3 linked regions of the Arabidopsis thaliana genome follow. The main gene of each other region encodes a partner of the protein of the gene in region 3 in a complex. Links are inferred from orthologs where the notes say so. Each region holds a gene or a part of one and is shown on either strand. Other genes may lie near its edges. A codon is read from its position in the direction of its gene.

Region 1 (4,024 bases), about 24 Mb from region 3:
ATCCTCCAGCCGGTTATCCACCGCCAGGATATGCTCAGGGATACCCTGCACAAGGTTATCCTCCGCCGCAGTACTCTCAAGCTCCGCAGCAGAAGCAAAACGCCGGTATGCTTGAAGGATGGTACGTTCTTGATCCCATCTTTTCTACTTTATATTAACTTTATTTTGGTTTCTTGTTTTGCTTTGTATTTAGGTTTTAGTGGAATAATACTGTATTAGTTAATATATGTCTTTGCTCTGTTCATAAATACGTCACAGTTTGGCTGCGCTCTGTTGTTGCTGTCTCTTGGATGCATGTTTCTGATCGGAGGATAATTATATACGTTGCCTCAGTCAACTTTTATTTCCTCATATATGTTATGTAATGTTCAACAATCTTTCTTCTGTTGTTATCTTCTTTCAATTCGAATTTTGGTATCTTATGTTTTATTGACTCCGACCATAATTATCTCTCTCTTTCATAATCCAATCACACGAATTCGAAATAAACCAGTAAAGAAGTGATCAGAAATCTTGATGAAATATCAAAGGAGTGTGTTTCATCATCATCATCATATTATTGTAATAAGTAAACATAGCCATGGATAATGGTTCTTTTCAACCAAAAAGCTCACAGATGCTAAAATAACAAAGAAACATGAGAATTAATATCAAATGAGGTTTCTTCTTTTGCTCGAGAAGAATTGGAAGAAGGTGTAACATCAGTTTTCTGGTTGAGGATTGCCTTTCCACTTGAAGTTGTCCGAGTAAGACTTGACCTGCAGTTAGATGTTAGATGATGAACAATCATGGGGTTAGGTTAAAACTTCAATCTAAAGAATGTTCTACCAAATAAATCAAAGGAATGAAAGAGACTATCGCTCGTCAAACTAGTAGCTAAATCTTAAACTAGAGGCACCAAACCATTTCTGATGAAGCAATATGAGTTAAGTTAAAGAATATCCTATCTATTTAACACAACATTCAAGGGTCGTTCCAGTGAATCTCCAGCTTTAGGGTTAAACACCTCATATGAGTAGAGCTCGTAAGTCATAATGCGGCATTAGCAAAAAGATAGTTACTAACCTTCAATAATGGTGTGTTGGGCTTCTTGACCTGCAATGATTTAGATGTAAGTTTTTCAGTACTCTGAATTCTATATTAAGGGATCTTAAAACAGAACCATCACAATGGTGATCGAAAAAAAAAAAAAACAGAACCATCACATTCTCATAAAATGTGAGTGAATGCGACCAGAAAAAAAAATGAGCTAAAAACGAAGAAGGAAACAACGTACCTTATAATCCCAACCATGACGCTCAGCAAAAGACTTAGCAGCTTCTTCAGAATCAAAAGCAAGAGCAGAGTCACCAACATTAGCATAGGGGTCACCTGTAGAAGTCCATCCCATCAACGGATTCTCCCACCTAGAAACATATGAATGCCATAGATAAGTGATGTCAATCGAAATCTAATCAACAAGTGATGGACTAGTACTAGTCACAAGCAGAAGACTTAAGTTTTGAAAAGATAGGAATTTTAAGGATAAGAATCATATTAGGACATAAAATGTGAGGAAAAGAGGATTATCTTAATCAAAAAGTAGCATACTTTAAGGTGGAGACGAAGTTAATCTTCCATTTTCCGAGTTTTCCAGATCCTGACTGGGTAGCTGTTCTAGCAGGTGAGTATATTATCACCTGTTAATTTCCAAATTCAATACTCTTAGCACTATTCGATTGACCAAAATCAAATCAAGAACACGATGTAGCTCAATTAAGACGATTCTCTGATCACGAACCCTAATTTTCTAAACTGAATTCGTAAGAAATCGAATGCTTATTTACCTTGCGAGAAAGATGCTCCTCTGGGATTCCGGAGACCTTACCGATCTCACCACGCTTGTAATCCGACTCAACCACCGCGTCAGTAGCGAAAGGTCGAGCAACACGCCGGAGCGTCGCCGCTATACGGATAGTCCTTTGAGTAGTAGCACAAAGCGCCATCGTCAATTAGAGAAATCTGGAAAATTGCTGAGCTTTTTGATTTCGCTTTGGTTTCTTCTACTTCTGTAGATTTTAGAAAGAAAAAAAAAACACATATTTCAATCTAGCCATCAAAATTTTATAAATTACGCTTTCGGTCTTACTATTATATGAAAAATCTTTAATAGCCCCTAAACTATCTGTGAGATTTAACAACGATAAATTTTATAGATACATTATTTTTAAAAAATAGTACTAGTATATTTTATTCAGCTTGATCCTATTCATTTAGTTGGTAGGTTTTATTGTGTAATTTGATAAACTTGAGGCAAATTTGTGAATGTGGAGAAATATAGGGTTACATCTTCCTTAGCTTGAATACAAAAGAAAAGCTCAAGTTTGTTTCTCGTTTCTATGGATATTCTTCTTCCTTATGCTAGCCTCTCTGGTCTTCTTCTTCTTCGTTCGTTTCAGCGAATCACATTTGATCTATGACACATCTATACAAGGAATTAGCTTTCATCATCAAGTCTCTCTCTCGAAAACTCTCCTTTGGTTTCGTTTGATCTGGCATGCTTCTTCTCCTCCTTCCTCCTTTCTGCTTCCTTCTCTGAATTTTCCATTTTTGTTTTTAATTTTCTACGATCGCCCCATTTGAATTTGGTTGATAATTTAGCTATCGCTTTAGATTGATGGCTGTATTTCCAAATTCCTGTTGATTTGCGACGTTGTTAATGGGCTTTGATCCTCTTTTTTTGGTTCGAGATTGCTCGAATCACTCATTTTTTTGTTGAATTGAGCTTTGGGGCGTATCTAATTTCTTTGGATTTGTGTAGTTACATTTTTATGTTGTGGCTTTGTGTATCTGCTGGATTTAGATGACCAAAATTTTGTATTGGATAAGAAATGTTCAACAATGGCTTTGATGTGGTTAAGTTTCGTACGATTTAACAGATTCTAATGTTAGCGTTCACATCTATTGGCAGAGAAAAGAAGAAATTCAAATATTGATAACTGTGGATGGGTGCACCAAAGCAGAAGTGGACACCGGAAGAAGAAGCAGCTCTTAAAGCTGGAGTTCTTAAGCATGGGACTGGGAAGTGGCGTACCATACTCTCGGATACTGAGTTTAGTTTAATCCTTAAGTCTCGCTCTAATGTTGATCTTAAGGTAATACAATATAATATGCTTTTTGGAGGTTGTGATCGCGTGTTTCGGACTAATCTTGATAGTTCAAGGCATAACAGGACAAATGGAGAAATATAAGCGTGACAGCTTTATGGGGTTCAAGGAAGAAGGCTAAACTTGCGCTTAAGAGGACTCCACCAGGTACTAAACAGGATGATAACAACACAGCTCTTACCATTGTGGCTTTGACTAATGATGATGAACGTGCAAAACCAACTTCCCCCGGAGGTTCTGGTGGTGGATCACCACGCACTTGTGCTTCTAAGAGATCAATTACAAGGTTTGGTTCCCTGACTTATGCACCACATAACGATTTTCTTGAGTTCATAAAGATTTGATCTTGCGCTATTGTCTGTTTTTGTAGTTTGGATAAGATCATCTTTGAGGCAATTACCAACTTGAGGGAACTACGCGGTTCTGACAGAACATCAATCTTTCTGTATATAGAGGTATTTCTACCATTGGGATTACATGTTTGGTTGGGGTTTGTTGCATACTTACTTAGTAGCTGTTAAATTTCAGGAGAATTTCAAGACTCCACCGAATATGAAAAGGCATGTCGCAGTACGATTAAAGCATTTATCATCGAATGGAACATTAGTTAAGGTAAACACACAACTTTTGATTCAAGATTCATGATCACTAACACTTCATTACTCTCAGAATTTTCAAAAATACTTACTTGGTGATTTCTCACTTTCAGATAAAGCACAAGTACAGGTTTTCTTCTAATTTTATTCCCGCAGGTGCAAGACAGAAGGCTCCTCAACTCTTTCTGGAAGGAAACAACAAGAAAGACCCAACAAAACCCGAGGAGAACGGTGCCAACAGTCTCACTAAATTCCGAGTAGACGGTGAATTATATATGATAA
Region 2 (5,067 bases), on a different chromosome or scaffold from region 3:
CTTTAGTGGGAGGTTGAGGAAGGAGCTTGAAGGGTGTTATTTATTAGTAGTAGTAGTAGTGGGAAGTTGTGGGACCTTGTTGAGTTGTGTTCAAATTGAAGAAAAAACAAGTATTTGTAATTTGTCACCCCTTGTATTATTATTTATTTTGTATGACTTTGGAGTAGTATAATTAATTATCAAATAATATTATTAGTTTGATCTAGTAACCATCCTTTGTTTGATAACACTAGAAACATAAAGCAAATATTTTAGGAGAAAGTACCATGAATTGTGCTTCTTTTTTTTAGTGGTACGTGTACAATTTTAACTTCCAAATCTCAAATGCTAAGATATATACACTTTGGACAGAACATGTATCAATTTAAACTTGCATGTTTACATTTTGCATTGATTAGTGAAGACAAAATACAACTTTTATTAATATTGTTAGTTTTGGAAAAATATAGCCAAAAAAAAAACTCATCGAAGAATTAAAGTTATTGATATGATTATTTCATGTGATTCATTAAATCATTCTGCCAAATTTATTTTTTGAGTAAAGTTTGGAAAATCTTGTGTCTTTTGAAGTAACAGATAAAAGTTTTGTTTTTATTACAATTTCACATGAATCTTAGAGTGAGATAATAATAAACGAAGATGATTTGGCAATTTGTTTAAAATGGGTCTAAATTCCAAAACCAAGAAGACTACAAAGAGTATGCAAACTCAATTTGATGCGGTACAGGCGTCAAACATACATCGCTATAGCCTTTGCGTTATTGAACCACATAAAACTGCGGCAAACAGAACTTAGCTTTAGCATGCATCAAGATCACGGAATTGTGGTGGCTTAGGCTCACCAAGCAGTGTCTTATTCCCTCCTTCTGGTCCACACTTGATCCTCTTCGGGTTCTGAGTTCCATGCTGAAAAACAAAGATTAACATTATAAGAAGTTGGATTTGGATTTTGGATTTGGATTTTGGCTTAGAGGCTACGTTCTCCAATTTGGAAAGTTAACCGAAACCAGATTGTTTTCCCCCACCGATGTAATGCAATAGTAAGAGAAGAACATCAGGAAAGTATCCAAATGCAATGGGTTGTTAATGTCTTACCGGTGGCTTTTCTCCTTTTCTCAGCTTTTCAACAATTTCTACGACTTTCTCAGGTGTAACATCTTCCTGTGTATTGTAGCATAAGACAGTGTAAGTATGATTTCACTCTTCCGACGTAACCCACATAAACAATAGGATAATGCAGGAGAAAAAGAAAAATTGTTCAACGAGATTTGACATACGAAATAGTTATATGTATATCCTTCTGATCCATTGGAATAGTCAGCCACAGTGATCATGGGTGCATTAACACAACATCCCTGTAACAAAACCAAACACATTAGATCTGCATTGAATCTTTTCATGTGAAAGTACTAATCTTGGTTATTGTTCTGCATGGATTAATGAATTGAGGTGACGCAAAATCCATACCATGCACTCCATCTCTCCAACAGAGAACAAACCATCCTTTGTGACCTCTGCACAAAAAACATTAAGACCAAAGATCGTTATGACTGATCATCACCTCCATATGATTTTGGTTATGAAAGGAAGCACATAGAGCTTTACCACCGCGTTTCACTCCCAAATGGTCTAGCAAAGCTGATTCGATGTCTCGTGAACCACGGATCATGCAAGGTGTTGTGCCACAAACTAGAAGGTGATACTTTCCAACCTGTAAGAGCAAAAGAAAAATGAGCCTGCAATGCGTCTTTCATTGAGTACAGTAGAGACTTGAGTTTAGGGGTAGAAAGTACTTCTTACCTTTGCTCTGTTGAACATTGAGTAAAATGTTGCAACCTCATAAACACGGATAGGGGCAACTTCTATAACTTTAGCAACCTGCAAAAGTTTGTTGCATTGTTATGACGGTAAAATCATATCAATGAATGTTGTATTCCAAAAAAGAACTTAAGAAGTACATAAAATTAAGTCTTAACAGAGAAAATCGAACAAAAAAATCTTAGAAGACATACCGCATTCATTGCTGAAACAGGGAGCCAGCCTCCATTCTGCTGTTGTGCAAGATCTAGGAGAGGAATAACTGCGGACTGCTTGTAATTGGATGGATAGTAAGAGAGAATCTCCTTAACCTACACATTTTGGACATAACAATTCAGTAAGTCTGGATGCATGCGGAAATCGATTTCACCGTTAATGCAAGATTACTGTAGCCAGAAATGAAAGATACAGTAAACTGGAACTAAATGCACAAGAAAGTATTAGGATTTAAACTACAATGAAACCGGTTTACTAATTTCTGGACAGTCTTTCTGCCACACTAGCAGATTCAAATCTGTTGGCCATTTGGGTCGTTCACTCTAAGTCTCTCCCTTAAATCAGTTCCAGAATAGCCGATTCTAAATATGTAACAACAAATAAGCAATCAAAAATATCAGAAAATCCCAGTCTTTGTCTTTTAATATCCTTTGGTAGAATGCTAACTAAGAGAACCATAATTCATAATCAGGAGACAGGGACTAGTTATAACTAGGGTCAAACAAAGGGCTAAAGATTAGGGAACGAGGGCTAAAGATTCCAACATTTTCACGAAAGAGTATAAATTAATTCCACCATTACGAACATGTCACACAATTCCCTAGATATTCTGTAAACATCACAAAAACGAATTCGAATCCGTACTGGATAAAAATCCCCAATGCGTTCACTAAAACTGTAAATTTTCGTCATTATCACATTAAGAAGCGATTTTATTCACTGACCTTAGATTGGTTAGCCTCTGAAAACTCCCATGGAAGATCGGGTTTGTTATCAGGAGAATCCAGATGCTATAAGTAATCAAAACAACAACAACAACAAAAATCAAATTACAATTAATTTCGGATAAAATTAGACAAAATTGAAGCATAGATCAGATAGAATATCCAACACTCACGTAGTTTAAGGCCGTCGATAAGCTACGAGTCACCTGTAGATAGAAATGACCAAAACGGAGAATGAGATCGGGAAACGACCGGAGAGAAGCTGAGAGGAAGCAAGGAATTAGAGAATACCTGAGAGGTTGGTTGACGGAAAACTTGACGGATCTCGAGAAGACGCTTCGCAGCGAGCCTAGCCAGCATTTTCGACAATTTAGAGGACGAGAGACGCACACGAAGGTTTTTTTTGATCTGAGAGAGAAGGAGAAGCAGAGAAACCAAGGAGCTAGACTCGGTATCTCACTATCACCTGGCGCAGGATTGACTATAGCCTCTATGGGCCTGCTAAAATAAGCCTGACTTTAATTCATTATTGGTCTATTACTTTTGGTTTAGGACTGATACATACGAGTAGCTTTAAAGGCCCATTTTATTAATTAAAGGCCCATACATGTAATACTTGAAGCCCGTTGGAATTTGCTGATTCTTATAATTTGCACATCTCCTCGCAGCTTTTTCATCATAGTGCAATGGCATGATTCTTTGTTTGTTTAACAGAATCTCAAGCAAATAAAAAGTGAGAAACATTTGCTCGATGGAGTAAAATGACTCCGCACCTCAAAACATATATGAACAGAATTTCTCCATGTCGTATATATCATTCTCTGTGTAGGCTCCAAATATCGTCTTTGATGATCCGTTCATAATTCATATTAACCCAAAAAAGAAAGAAAAAAGCACATTGGAATCAAGTAATATAATCCACCAGCTCCACCATTAACCCGTTCAAAATTGTTATTAACCTTAACATACCCGTCTTTGTATCCCAATAATATTTCAGATCATCATACAACAGAAAAACGGCTTAAAATATAAGACATTGGTCCTAAGCAGAAACTATTACGGTTCTGGTGGACTATAGCTAATGACGTAGATGATTACAATGATTTTTAATGTTCGGCGATTGAGGAAGGCACCTTCCGTCGGTTCATCTTTGTCTCATTAGCGTTCGATTATAAGAAATCTCATATTATTTGTTACGACTTTCCCATCCGTCAATATAACACAGAGATACATAAAACTTAAATAATATGATCAAGGATAAATATATTAGAAAGCAGAGATTCATTCATTAAGGCCATTTCTCCATCTCCATTCAATATTTAAGAAACAAAAATCCACAAGGCAAATTTGCATCCCAAAAAAAAAGCACAGACCGAATATTTTTTAAAAGAGAAAAATAGCGAAAATGAAGCGATAAATTTGTTTTAGGACAGTCTCCATATGGACTTCTAAATATACAAGCAGATTCCTTTCATGAGCCAACCACTTCCATAGTTGTTGTTTTTTTGCCCTAAGCCAAGTACCTAAACATGTTAGGATTCTCCTTGTCCCTCTCCAAATAATCTCTGGTTATTAAATCCTCCATACGCTTCTTGATCGCTTTGATATCAGGCTGCAACAAACATCACAAATCCAATGAGTTTCATCACCACGTGCATCTTCAAATGTCTCTGTATAAATATAATTATATGTATAATTTACCTTGAACATTCGGCTAAGTTGCTCAACACACTCAGAAACAAGTTGTTGATGTCCCAATACTTTCCTGCTCTTCATGATCCTGACAATGGCAGCATCAATTGCATATCTTCTGTCTTTATCGACATCTTCAACGACTTTCTTCCTTTCATCAACTGGGGGAAGAGGGATCTGTGACGCAAATCACCCAAGTTGATGTTAGTTATTAACAATATGTAAAACATGACATAAACTTGCAGACTTTTGAGTATTACTATTAACGTCACAAACCTTGATTCTGCGCATTCTATCGGTGAATTTGGAGTTGAACTCAAAGGCATCATTCTGGGAGACAGTCTTGGTGTTTGGCTCCTTAAGGAGTATCTTGTACTTAGCACATGACAAGGAATGAAGCAACCTAACTAGATCTTCATGGCTTAGGTTCAGTTGAGCCAAGATCTCAGTGTAACTTAACTTGTCAGTTGTGTTAAAGAGTAGAAGCACAGCAGCCTATAGAGACAGAGAACGTGGCATCAGAGTCCGTTTACAGATAGAAAATATATATCAGTATTTTCTGAGAAACATACAGTACCTGGTAAGTAGACACTATTAACTCGATGGCCTTTTGATC
Region 3 (5,149 bases):
ACTAGATTTTTCTTTTGGTGACATTTGGGGAGGCAATCATTGATGAATAATAATTATTTGTACGGTGATTATAAAAGGCAATGAAATACTATATCAAACTATTTGTAAACATTGTTCAAACTTAAGCTCATATCGAAAATCGAAAACAACAAAGATGCTAATTGCCTATATGACGACTTTCCGAGTTATGCAAATATGTGATTATGTAATTTCATCATACAACAACTTGTTGATTCAGTAGTTCTATCGATTAAGTAAAGAAATTGGAAAAGGGGGGAAAAAGGTGGGAGAGGTGGACAAAGAAGTTAGGGAAGATGTTGACGTCTTATCCATAAATATCCTCCAAAAATAATATCCAATCAGACCGGTCCCCATCACCCTCACAGGTCTTCCTTGCCTTCATTTATCTCTTTTCCTTTTTCTCTCTTTCTCCATTTCAATGCGAATATATATATCACTTCCATTTCATTTTATTCTTTAAGTTATTCCATTTAGAAATTTCTAGTTTATAGTTTTAAGATGATTTCTACTTTGTTTGATTTTACGAAATCAAGTTGGGACTAATCACATTTTGGTTATACATTATCCAAAAAAACTAATTTTGGACTATCATATCAAGTTGTATACAGAACAATGATATACCAATTTATATCCTAGAGATATTTTTCAGAAAATGCCAAAAAGAAACATTGATTTATAATTTATTTGCTATGTGAACTACTTATAAACCCAAAAAGGAGCATTCTTTATTTCAAACATGAAAAGGGTTTCTTTGGTTGTTCCCAAAATGTGCTTTCATACTCGAATAAACATAACAAGCAAACAATAAAGAAAGTAGAGTAATGCAAAAGAGCAAATCGCGCTCTTTCTGATACAACTTTAAGAGAGTTTTAACATTAACCATTCAAACAAATTACATTACCTTCTTCTCCTTCTGAAGTAGCTTTGCATCCCAAAACCGTTACTAGTTGTTCATTCAGATTTTATTTCCATGGAGAATAATAGCAAACTCCCTGCAAAAACATCAATTTTGTAAGACAGGGATAGAGCAGAAAGATAGTTACGGAAACTAACTGTTCATTACGGCTCAAGTTCTTGAAATGCCCAAAGAAATTAGATACAGAGCAGTCTACCTTGTCACAAATACATTCTAAAAGGCTGCGTAAACTCTAGACCTCAGCTTTTAAGTTTGCAACAGAAGATTAAAAGAGCAAGGACTGGAGATGCAAACCTCTGGTTAACAAGGTACTTAAGCAGCAGCCTGTAGCAACTCCCTTTCAGCGCGTTCCCTGATCCTTCTCTCGAGCTCTGGCCTAAAGTGTCTTATCAGACCTTGCACAGGCCATGCAGCTGCATCACCCAATGCACAGATTGTGTGTCCTTCGATCTGTTTGGTTACCTCCTGCAGCATATCAATCTCTTCCAGCTTTGCATTGCCAACTTTCATTCTCTCCATGATCATCCAAAGCCAACCTGTTCCCTCTCTGCAAGGAGTGCACTGCCCACAGCTTTCATGCTTGTAGAAGTAAGAGAGCCTTGCAATTGCATCCACAACATCGGTTGATTTATCCATCACAATGACTGCTGCAGTTCCTAACCCTGATTGGACAGCCTTGAGCGCATCGAAATCCATCAGCACATCCTCGCAAATGTTCTTAGGGATCAGAGGAACAGATGAACCACCAGGGATGATAGCAAGTAGATTGTCCCATCCACCCCTAACACCTCCACAATGCCTCTCAATCAGTTCCTTGAGAGGTATACTCATCTCCTCTTCCACCGTGCATGGCTTGTTTACATGGCCTGATATACAAAAGAGCTTTGTCCCAGCGTTATTCTTCCTACCGAAACTAGAAAACCACTCAGGTCCACGCCTTAAAATGGTAGGCGAAACAGCCACTGTTTCCACATTGGTAACAGTTGTGGGACAACCATATAAACCAGCATTAGCAGGGAACGGAGGCTTCAACCTAGGTTTTCCTTGCTTCCCTTCAAGGCTTTCAAGAAGCGCAGTCTCTTCACCACAAATGTACGCACCAGCACCAAAGTGGATATAAACTTCAAAATCATAACCAGAACCACATGCATTCTTCCCCAAGAGACCAGCTGCATACGCTTCTCTTCTAGCCTTCTCTAGATTCAAACGCTCATTCACATATTCACCCCTGATGTAAATATACGCAGCACTAGCTCTCATTCCAACACCAGCAATCAAACACCCTTCCAACAATTTGTGAGGGTCATGACGCATGATCTCCCTATCTTTACAAGTTCCAGGCTCACTCTCATCAGCATTGACAACCAAATAGGAGGGACGGCCATCAGAAACTTTAGGCATAAAGGACCACTTAAGACCAGAAGGGAAACCAGCACCACCACGTCCACGAAGTCCAGATTTCTTCATTTCATTGACAATCCAATCAGTACCCTTGAGCACCAAATCTTTGGTCCTATGCCAATCACCTCTCTTCATCGCGCCTTTGAGAAATGGGTCATGCAGACCATAGAGATTAGTAAAAATCCGATCTTCATCCTTGAGACCACCGAAATGAGTCTTTTCCGGAGGCGGAGGAGGTGGAGGAGGCTGTGGAGTGGTGGAAGTGGATGCAGCTTGAGTGCTGAATGATCTCAAAGCTGGAGTCAGTCTGTTACTTTCCTTCCAAATGGACACTGCCCTTTGCAAGCCAAGAATCCCCCTCACGGGTGCCTATCATCAAATCCATATAACAAAGACGGTAAATGGCAAATTAACTCAAAGTAACACATGATCTACTTTAAAAGCATACAAAAAATTGAAGCACGAAATCAGTAAAATTGATGATACAGGAGTTAAGTGTCGCGTATAAAATCGCTGTTTCAACATTAGGAAACCAAACAAAACCAACAAAAGCAGGTGAATAAACCCAATCGCTCTAAATCGATAAGCTCGACCAGATCAATCATAACCCGCTAGATCTATGTATAAGAAGATGCCGCATTTTGAAATTGTTCAGCTGAATTCAAGATAAATACACTCAAAGTCTTAATTTTGAAAACCCTAACAAATGCGATCGAGAAGAAAATCGTATAACCTAGAAATGAAAACGGAGATCATCAAAGTGAGTGCGCGAAAAGAGATTGCTTACCATGGAGACGAAAATTTCCGAGAAGTAGTCTTTCAGAGAGATACTGGTCTTTGTTCCTGAAGCGTGAAGGCCACAAGAATGGGAGCTTGAACAGACACGGAGACGAAGTTATAATCACTGCCCACCTGAGACCGACGAACTCGAGATAAGCTGTTTGGTTTAGATTACTCCGCGTCTTCTTGACGTTAAGCTTCTCTCTATTTTATGGGCCTCTCTTGGTCCAGGCCCAAATATTCTGGTCCGGTATGAAACTATCCTAAACTTCGATAAACGTAAAATATGTGGGTCGAATATGAAATAATTATAAAGTATTGGGAACAATTAGCATTTAGAAACATAAGAGGCGTCTTTTTATAATTTTCTCAGTTCCCGTAAGACGATCCAACTGCTACAGGCCGGCGATTAGCAAAGGCGGTGGTTCGATAGAGAGAGGAAGAGATTGAAGCGATTTTCACTCAGTTTTCATCAGATCGTCTCGGTGATTCTAGGGTTCATTGGTCTCGTTTTGTTCGGTGACTGCTTGAGTTTCACGTTTTTGGTGAGTTCCGTCTATCTATTATTATCTTAATATTTTGATGATTCAGGCTCATGGTTTGTGAAATTTGCTCTAATTTATTCCAGGAAATAATCAACATAAGCGAATTCTTGTGTTTGGCTTTAATTGAACCCTGAATTTAGATGATAACAATATTTCTGATGGTTGGTTCATTGTATTTAGGTTTCGATTTCTTATGGGAGATTCCTCGGTTTCGACAAGTTCATGGGCTGTCATTGAATCTGCTAATAGGTTTCAGGTATAACTCATTTCTGGATGCATCTCTTCTATTTTGTGCTGCATTTAACCTATTAACATTTTGTTTACTGTTCAGTGGTAGGAAACTTTTGGGTCTGTTTCTAGTTGTGAATTGAATAGACTACAAGAAGTAAGCAGAACTGAATGTGCATTCCTTTTGTTTTTATTGACAATTGTGAGTTAACATGTTCAGGTGTCGAGCGTTATGGGTGAGTCCTCTGGATCAAGCAGTTCATTGGCTGCTATAAATTCGTCCAACATTGGGTTTCAGCTCCTAAAGAAGCATGGCTGGAAGGAAGGCACTGGTCTTGGAATCGCTGAACAGGGTATATTGGTGCCTCTACAAGCAGAGCCAAAACATAACAAACGAGGAGTGGGAGCTAAACAACCAGCTAAGAGAAAAGTGGCTCAGCCTCAGGCTAAGGTCTTGTTTCTTAAAACCCTTACATGCGATAGCCTTTAAATCTGAAAATAGCTAATGATGAAGAAGTGTTCAGGCATTGATAAAGAGTCTCATCTGATTTTATTTTTTGAAAGTCTGCATCAGCGACACTTCATATCTCAATAGTGCTGGACTTGATTTTTGGCTTATCACGTTGCCATTAGCTTTTATGTTTCATTTGTTTTCAAGTTAGGCATCGAAACTTATCTTTTCTTTACTAAAATTTTCAGGATGAAGAAGTCTCAAAGCAGAGTAAGAAACTTTCGAAGAAAATGCGGAAGATGATGGAGCACGAAAAACATTTACAGGAAAAAGAATTTGAACGAGCCTTCTTTAGGGAGTTCTGGCCCGATAATGTATAACTAGGTTTTATTCTTTTACTTCTTATTGACCTGAATGTTCCAAAAGCTTCTGTATTTACTGCAAATTTAGAATAACTCTGTTCTATTGCCTTATCAATGAAGAAAAATAGTTATAGAATCATGCGCTCAACCTTATACCTTTAGAAAATGGGAAAAGAAAATGAAGTTAATGCAGACACTTCAAGTAAAGGTTTTTGTTAGCAAGTTTCTAAAGTGTATGTTCATGTGCCTTGCATTGGTACCCATGCATTTAGCATGACCAAATCACTTTATATTGTGAACTAAATTTGGGATAATAATCCGATTTAACATGGGAGTAACAAAAAATTCTAGCTTGTGTGGGTAATTAATCCATTTGTTATTATGTCTGCTGTCTGCTGAATTCACTTTTTCTTCTTGTTAAAAACCATTTGATGATCGTTTATAG

The links. Proteins that work in one complex are often made in the same cells at the same time.
Region 1: the proteins of CI51 (region 3) and FRO1 are in contact, whole or in part, in a cryo-EM structure (PDB 8BED), measured with the Arabidopsis thaliana proteins. Residues at the interface, in NP_196470.1 of Arabidopsis thaliana: Gly131 (codon at 2,320), Arg132 (codon at 2,317), Pro133 (codon at 2,314), Glu237 (codon at 2,002), Arg247 (codon at 1,972), Leu248 (codon at 1,969), Pro250 (codon at 1,963), Pro251 (codon at 1,960), Tyr259 (codon at 1,936), Gly260 (codon at 1,933), Cys261 (codon at 1,930); in NP_201560.1 of Arabidopsis thaliana: Tyr140 (codon at 749), Ser141 (codon at 746), Phe144 (codon at 737), Trp146 (codon at 731).
Region 2: the proteins of CI51 (region 3) and AT4G02580 are in contact, whole or in part, in a cryo-EM structure (PDB 9F5X), measured with the Chlamydomonas reinhardtii proteins. The link is inferred for Arabidopsis thaliana from one-to-one orthologs. Residues at the interface, in XP_001702590.1 of Chlamydomonas reinhardtii: Asp58, Glu59, Arg61, Phe63, Gln64, Asn65, Ile66, Tyr67, Arg69, His70, Met78, Ser79, Arg80, Gly81, Tyr84, Met85, Glu88, Ile89, Lys92, Trp96, Gln100, Tyr133, Glu142, Pro143, Gly144, Thr145, Cys146, Arg149, Glu150, Arg153; in XP_001698508.1 of Chlamydomonas reinhardtii: Thr42, Arg79, Tyr80, Pro81, Tyr84, Gln86, Ser87, Ile89, Ile90, Pro91, Asp94, Val95, Glu125, Val126, Phe129, Tyr130, Thr131, Met132, Phe133, Gly147, Thr148, Thr149, Pro150, Arg152, Leu153, Gln154, Glu184, Met185, Glu186, Cys187.

The regions. Positions count from the first base shown.
Region 1 is NC_003076.8:26,956,034-26,960,057, reverse strand, and holds FRO1 (NADH-ubiquinone oxidoreductase-like protein), read right to left. Parts: upstream 2,144-4,024; 5' UTR 1,986-2,143; coding exon 1,827-1,985; intron 1,680-1,826; coding exon 1,591-1,679; intron 1,407-1,590; coding exon 1,277-1,406; intron 1,096-1,276; coding exon 1,066-1,095; intron 759-1,065; coding exon 702-758; 3' UTR 501-701; downstream 1-500. Other genes in the region: WIH1 (cysteine-rich TM module stress tolerance protein), read left to right, coding at 1-121, 259-304; TRB2 (Homeodomain-like/winged-helix DNA-binding family protein), read left to right, coding at 2,985-3,134, 3,212-3,432, 3,517-3,601, 3,675-3,758, 3,856-4,024.
Region 2 is NC_003075.7:1,132,638-1,137,704, reverse strand, and holds AT4G02580 (NADH-ubiquinone oxidoreductase 24 kDa subunit), read right to left. Parts: upstream 3,277-5,067; 5' UTR 3,120-3,276; coding exon 3,051-3,119; intron 2,966-3,050; coding exon 2,933-2,965; intron 2,826-2,932; coding exon 2,760-2,825; intron 2,130-2,759; coding exon 2,013-2,129; intron 1,879-2,012; coding exon 1,801-1,878; intron 1,712-1,800; coding exon 1,606-1,711; intron 1,515-1,605; coding exon 1,468-1,514; intron 1,356-1,467; coding exon 1,278-1,355; intron 1,162-1,277; coding exon 1,096-1,161; intron 907-1,095; coding exon 799-906; 3' UTR 501-798; downstream 1-500. Other genes in the region: CUL1 (cullin 1), read right to left, coding at 4,270-4,371, 4,461-4,628, 4,728-4,946, 5,029-5,067. UniProt on the Arabidopsis thaliana protein: Core subunit of the mitochondrial membrane respiratory chain NADH dehydrogenase (Complex I) that is believed to belong to the minimal assembly required for catalysis. Complex I functions in the transfer of electrons from NADH to the respiratory chain.
Region 3 is NC_003076.8:2,758,599-2,763,747, forward strand, and holds CI51 (51 kDa subunit of complex I), read right to left. Parts: upstream 3,422-5,149; 5' UTR 3,129-3,421; coding exon 3,126-3,128; intron 2,708-3,125; coding exon 1,250-2,707; 3' UTR 1,232-1,249; intron 1,014-1,231; 3' UTR 719-1,013; downstream 1-718. Other genes in the region: AT5G08535 (D111/G-patch domain-containing protein), read left to right, coding at 3,857-3,919, 4,112-4,342, 4,591-4,722. UniProt on the Arabidopsis thaliana protein: Core subunit of the mitochondrial membrane respiratory chain NADH dehydrogenase (Complex I) that is believed to belong to the minimal assembly required for catalysis. Complex I functions in the transfer of electrons from NADH to the respiratory chain.